2 linked regions of the Drosophila melanogaster genome follow. The protein of the gene in region 1 purifies or fractionates together with the protein of each later gene. This does not show direct contact. Each region holds a gene or a part of one and is shown in the gene's direction. Other genes may lie near its edges.

The links.
Region 2: the proteins of CG5131 (region 1) and Obp56f purify together in Drosophila melanogaster (affinity purification with mass spectrometry, with the first as the bait; one large-scale study listed by BioGRID). This does not show direct contact.

What each region holds. Positions count from the first base shown.
Region 1 is NT_033779.5:17,482,593-17,486,450, forward strand, and holds CG5131 (uncharacterized protein), read left to right. Parts: upstream 1-1,908; 5' UTR 1,909-1,985; coding exon 1,986-2,636; intron 2,637-2,709; coding exon 2,710-2,910; 3' UTR 2,911-3,032; downstream 3,033-3,858. Other genes in the region: GCS2beta (glucosidase 2 beta subunit), read right to left, coding at 1-498, 564-1,566; CG43221 (uncharacterized protein), read left to right, coding at 3,199-3,259, 3,370-3,413; CG43645 (uncharacterized protein), read left to right, coding at 3,561-3,627, 3,705-3,748.
Region 2 is NT_033778.4:19,711,417-19,714,544, forward strand, and holds Obp56f (Odorant-binding protein 56f), read left to right. Parts: upstream 1-1,978; 5' UTR 1,979-2,002; coding exon 2,003-2,062; intron 2,063-2,116; coding exon 2,117-2,434; 3' UTR 2,435-2,560; downstream 2,561-3,128. Other genes in the region: Obp56e (Odorant-binding protein 56e), read left to right, coding at 981-1,037, 1,094-1,435; CG8517 (uncharacterized protein), read left to right, coding at 2,758-2,930, 2,992-3,128.

The sequences.
Region 1 (3,858 bases):
TGATGGCCGAACGGTTTGGACCATTCCAGCAGGCAGCACCATTGGTGTACTTTTGTTGGGAATATTGCTTTGGCTCTCCACTCCATTTGTCCCAGCGACCCAGCGTGGTTTCAGGCCCACCGCTCCTCGACTTCTGGGAGGCCCGATCGAAGGGACAAAGGGTGTACACATACTCCCGATCTTCGAAATTGTAGCACTGGCCATCGTGCACGGCCCACTCCTCGGTCAGGCCGTAGCCCTTGTTGTTCTGGTCGTCGATCTCGTTAACCTCCTGCTGAATCTCGCGCAGGCTGCGCTCCACTTCCTCGAGAGCATTTCGCGCCTCATTGGCCTGCTGGATCAAACGCTGCGTCTCCGGATCGTAGTTAGGTGGCGTGGCTTCTTCCGCATCCGGAGAGGCTTCGCCAACGCCCACATCGGGTTCCTCATCATCGTACTGATCCTCCTCACCCTCTTCGTCGGCTTCAATATCATCATCGCCGGCGAGTTCAGCTTGTTCTGGAATAGGAAGAAAAAGAAATCAGAACTCAAAGAGTAAGAAATAGTATTCCTATTATCATTACCTTCGCTTAGCTTTGGTGGAGTGGGCTGGATCGACTCGGTGGTGACCTCTGGCTGCTGGGCAACTTCCTCCGGCTGCGGCGGCTGGAACAGACCCTCGGCCAGCATTTGCAGAGACTTAATACGCGGCCAGGCCAGCGTTACGAAAGCATCTAGATCCACTCGTTCGCGCTCGTCCAGGAAGTACTTGGCCTCCTCCACAGTTACCACGCCGTTGCGATCTCTGTCCAGATTCATGTCGACCATCAGTTCGGTAACTTCGACGAAGCCATCTTTGTTGGTGTCGTAGCGCACAAAGGTGAGCGTGGCCTCTTGGCGCATCTGTTGCGGCTCCCGCTCCGCCTGTGCGGTGTCAGCATCCACCTCGCGCTGTTGCTCCTTAAAGATTTCAATGGCTTCTGCCTCTAGAGCCTCAGCGGTTTGCTTGAGCTGCTCCTTTTCGGCGCGCAGCAGTTCCTGTTCCTTGCGTCGTTGATCTAGCTCAAGGCGGCGCGCCTCTCGCTCGGCCCTCATCTGCTTGCCACGGGTAATCATCTCCTGTCGCCGCTCAGCTCCACGTTTGTGCAGCTCCGCTGCATTCCGCCTTTGGACAGCCGCCGCTGCTCCGAGTTCCAAGCAGGTATTCGGGCAACCGACCGTCTCTGACTCGTCACTGCCATCGCAGCAGTCACAGATGCCGTCCTGCACCTGCGAACTGGGTATATTTACCGGCTGGTGGCCTTTGTTCACACAATGGAACTGGCCCTGCGGACAGGCCGCAGTGCCAGGTTCATCGCTTCCATCCGCACAGTCGCAGTAATCGTCGTTGATGTGGGAGAAGGGTATGGTGCGGCTGCCATCCAAGCAGGTCCAACTGTTTTCGCCCGCCCGAGGTTGGTACAGTGAAGCCTTGGCCAGCGGAACACCCAGCGGACGTGGAACTTCGCTGGCAGAGCCTACGTTGGTGGCCACCAGGGCCAGCAGGAGCGGTATTAGCAGCACTTGGCTAAGTTGCAAGCTTTGCATTTTGGCTGTGCTCAGTACTACTCCTAATTAATCTTCTAATTTGAGTTGCCTCCCGAGTGCTGTAAATCTTACGTGGAATTTGCTATGGTTTTTTACGAATCGTAAAATGCCGGTGCAGCACTATCGATGGCAATAGAGACAACTATCGATAGCAACGGGCAGTGGCGGGATTTGAAATGGCCGAAGGGATTTCGTTTGTATGACCGACACGGGGAAATTGGTTTGCTTATTTTAATTTGATTAAATTCCTTGAAAATTTCACGTATTATGTTATGATGCAGAATTACTTTCGCGCTGGTTTTTAGCACCTGACCACTGCACTGCTGACCAACTGTCTTTTCGGCAGTGTGGCAACGCTGCCAAATCAGCTGCCGGTTTGTTATTTAACAAAAGTGGAGGATCATAGAGCCCATAAAATAATGGAGTTCCTGACTAAAGTGTGGGCCAAAGAGGCAACAGCGCCCGAGGCAATAGAAGCCATCACCGGCGCAGCGCAAGAAAAACAAAATGCAAAGACTGAAAAAGCATCTGCCAGTAAGGAGACGAGCACCGAAGAAACCACCACTGCTCAAAAGGATTGGGGCTACGACCTTTATCCGGAGCGAAGGGGCGAAACCTTCAAGCCCAAATGGACACGAGTCCTGTTCGGCTTGGAGGGGCAGGAGAACATTGATCGTTTCAAGTGCGAGGAGAATGTGTACTGGTGTGTCAAAAATGGTCCGCTGGTCAAACTGATGATGGGAGCACTGAAAAGTTCCGGTTGTCCCATCGATCTGCGCCGACACATCTCATGCGAGGTGTGCGACCCCACAGTCACCGGCGGTTACGATCCCAAGCTCAACCAGATCGTGGTCTGCCAGAATATGGCCAGGAACAAGAGCATGGTCCATGGAGTGCTAACGCACGAGATGATTCACATGTTCGACTACTGCAATAACGACATGGACTTCCGCAACGTGGACCACCTGGCCTGCACAGAGATCAGGGCGGCAAACCTGGCGCATTGCTCCTTCTTGAGCGCCATGTTCCAAGGAGATGCCTCGCCATTTAATGTCAAGGAAGCGCATCAGGTGGCTTTCTTATATATTTTTATTAACCAAATGCTTAAGAAACTGAATCCAAATCTATTCTTCTTTTTTTCAGAACTGCGTCAAGTCCAAAGCCCTAGCTTCCGTGCTCGCTGTTCGCAATATTAGCAAAGCAGATGCCGTCGCTGCTGTGGAACGTGTCTTTCCCAAATGCTATGCAGACTTGGAGCCCATTGGCCGGAGAATCCGTCGCAATTCCACGGACCAGCAGAAGGCTTACATGGAGGCACCCATGTATGGCTATGATGTATATTAAATTGCTTTATATATGCCTTTTCTTTTTTAAGTACCCACCCCCACACAATGTTAAATAAAACTATGTTTTAAGCTCGGGACATTTTGAATGTCACACGGCCAGACGGTTTTATATTTAAACCTAATCGCTTGGTTATTTATTAAATTATGTACGATTAGCCATGAAATGTATCAAGTTCATGAGATAAATTCAATTAGTACTATATACCCAGCAGCTAAAACGTATATAAAACATGCTGTTAAGACTGATGCTTTTAGTTTAAGTTGCAAGAGCAGCAGGAGCAAAGGCATGGAGGATTGTGAAATAATTGGAATGATATTCGAAATCATTGGGGATATGCTGTTTGGCAGTAAGTGGGAGGACATGGGAGAAGTGGAGCTGGATAAGTAGTAAAAAAAAAGCGGACATTATAGTCAATTTATCAATAAATAAAGAGGAAATCACTTCATATTATTGCAGGTGATACCTCATCAGATGATGATTACGATGAGTCGAGCACCTAGATTATTATTATTTTAATAATCCGCGAACCTAATAGAAGTTATCAAATGGATTAATCCAAATAAACCATACAAAGTATAATTAACCTTTGAAATAATGCTATAAATACAAAACGAAAATTGTGAAACTACCAAAGTACAACCAACAATATGGACTGTTGTGAGCTGCCGGAAATATTTTTGAGCTTCCTCAACGACCTTTTCTTCTCAGACATAAGTAATGAATTTGTAATGCTATCAAAACAGGGCTTTTTAATCATATTACTATTTTATTTTCATTTTTTGTTTGTAAAGCTGATGCGGAGTACTTGGGCGATTATTACGACAACTACAATTGAAATAGACCAGCGATCGTGAGCAAATAAAAAATTTGATATGAGCATTTACCTTTAAAAGCTTTTCAATACACAAATGTGTACTCGTATATTTGTCCCATTTCTGACCCAGA
Region 2 (3,128 bases), on another chromosome or scaffold:
ACTCACACGCTCGTCCTCGTGTCACTTGCTTGTCAATCATCCATCAAAGCCCCACAAAACCCCATCGGGAGTATGAAAACTCGGGGCTACTTATCTTCACATTGAATGCTCACAGAAACTGAAACTAATTGCTAAAACGCCTTGATGCCTGTGTAAGCAGTGAGGATTATGTAAAGACACTGGCAGGAAAGAAGAATCCTATCTCTAACCCTGAATCATAAAAATGTTTAGACAACAAACTGAGGCTGGGCGGGTCATCATTCATTTGGCCCAAGTAAATATGGCCTGGCCAACGAGTGAATGTTATCAGTATTTTGGAATCTGCTGTGACCCAAATGTGTGGTGGTTCATAGCCAGAAGCTCGGGTAGCAAAATCCCTGCTGACTTAGGAAAGTTTAAAGCACAACGAAAATTATTAACAAACTGCACAGCCTTCAGAAAATTAATCTTGGCCGATTGAAAGCTAAAAACTATACATTTAAACCACACGCCATTTCACACACTACTTTACACAAACTACTTACTTTGTAACTATGGATAATAAAGTGCAAGTCAGTATTCGATGTTAATGGAAAATTTTATTTGACAATCAGATTGTGGGCTGTAGTTCGAACTTCAGAGTTATGTAAGCATATCTAAGAACTTTTAACAGAGGCCAAAAAATTCGCAGATCCCAGTTATTCCTTTTAACTAGGACAGCTTACGCTAATTAAAAATATACTTTAAAGCCACCTGAAGCTTAATTTTTCCCAAATTAAATCTGAAATTATATATTGATATGTAAGAACCTGACAACAAGAAATAACCCGCAAGTCAGCATGGCTAGGTTGTTTCTCAGTGCAGCCAAGTAGATTGAAAGGGAATCACTAAACAAAGTCCAAAGTCCATCATCGCAAATTGTATAAATGCTGACTCGACGAGACATTTAGCCAACAGTTTCTATTCTAAAAGATTCTACACAGCAGATTACGATCAGCATCATGAAAGTATTCTTTGTGTTTGCCGCCCTTGCAGCTCTATCTTTGGCATCTGCCGTGGTAGGTCCTTTTGCTTGATTTCCATAAGTTCTATAAAGATTTGTTCCTCTTAACAGGGGCTAACTGATTCCCAAAAGGCTGAGGCAAAGCAGAGAGCCAAGGCCTGCGTCAAACAGGAGGGAATCACGAAGGAGCAAGCTATTGCCCTGCGGTCTGGAAACTTTGCAGACTCCGATCCAAAGGTAAAGTGCTTCGCCAACTGCTTCCTGGAGCAGACCGGCCTGGTGGCCAATGGGCAGATAAAACCTGACGTGGTTTTGGCCAAACTAGGTCCCATCGCCGGCGAAGCCAATGTCAAGGAGGTGCAGGCCAAGTGTGACTCGACCAAGGGAGCCGACAAGTGCGACACTAGCTATCTGCTGTACAAGTGCTACTACGAAAACCACGCCCAATTCTAAGAAAACCTTTTTTGATTTTCAAAAGAATATTTGTTTCTTTGATTACCAGTTATTCTCAATAAAAATTAGATCAGGCTTCCCAAATAGGCGTGCAATCAATTTAAGAAAAAGCTTGAAATTGTTAATAGGCGTGCACATAGACAGTCAGCAAAATCTATTTAAAGCGCATCTTCAGTATTGAATTTTAAAATCATAAAATGAACGGAACGCTTGCTCTAGTGTTTTTAGCCTGCATTTTCGTTCTGTCATATTCCAATGTAAGTGACTATTTATTATACTGCAACCATATTTATTTCTTGACATTGCCAGCCCGTACTGGAAAGTAATGAAAGTGAATTTCTTTCTGGTCTTTCTATTAAGTACAAAGAGCTAAAAATACATTAAATGGTTTTGTGACAGGTTAAATAACAAGTGGGTAACAGTCCCTGGAAACCGAAACCAAGCGTTGATAATATGATTTTTTGAGTTTCGAGTTGAGGATAAAGTGTAAATAGGCATGGCTAATGTACGAACTATAAAAGCCAGGAAAGATAGCTAATTTATGTTCTTGCACACAAAACTATCATTATGAAAGTATTCCTGTTGTTCATTTTCATCTCTGCTATCTGGCTCCAAGCATTTTGTATGGTAAGCAATCGCAATAATGTTGAAATTCCATTCTTTGAAATGTCCAAGTTTTAGAAATCTTCTGAAAAAATAAAAGCCTGCTTGAAACGGCAGCTGGGGTATACAATTACAGAAAATACAAAATTTGATGCTAAAGAAGACTCTCTTCAAAGCAAGTGTTTTTATCACTGCTTACTGGAAGTGAAAGGTGTTATTGCAAATGATGCGATCAGTTCGGAGCAACCGAGGAAAGTACTTGAAAAAAAGTATGGCATTACTGACACAGATGAATTGGAAAAGGCTGAAGAAAAGTGTCATTCCATCAAGGCTTCAGGAAAATGTGAATTGGGCTACGAAATCTTGAAATGCTATCAGTCCATTACCAAGCATTAGACTTCTAAACATGCTATTATGTACCTGGTGTTCGGATAAACATTCAACTTATGCACATCACACTTTAAAACGTTAATTTTTGAGAAACTTCACCAATGTACATAATAAAGTGTAAAACCGAAAACTAACTAAATATAAAATGTTATTTCTGGATCAAGAAGCCTTTGAATTTATGGAACTCTATGCCAAATGTGATTTTACCGTAATATTTTCAGTAGTAAAAAGGCTCTAGTCGTCATCACACTGTAGTCCCAAAAATTTTCGGATCAAAATTTTCTTGATATTTATCTAGGCTAAAATTTAAGTTATCCGTAAGCTTTATTATGTCCAGCTATAGAAGATTATTCCGGGCAAAGCGCCTAATGAATTTGATGAAGGCTAATCGCGGAATGACCAGTACTGGCAAGCAACCGATTTTCGATGTGGAGACTAGAAAAGACTTTGAGCAACGTGTGATCAATAGCGATCGGCCGGTGGTTGTGGACTTTCATGCCAGGTGAGCTTAGCCTTCAGTTAAATAGAACCATGTTAAGACATTGTTCCGCCTTCCTGATCAGCTGGTGCTGTCCATGCAAGGCTCTGGCCCCTCGACTGGAGAACGTTGTGTCCGAGCAGGAAGGTCGAGTGAGATTGGCCCGGGTCGATATTGATGAGCATGGGGAACTGGCCCTTGACTACAACGTGGGGTCCGTTC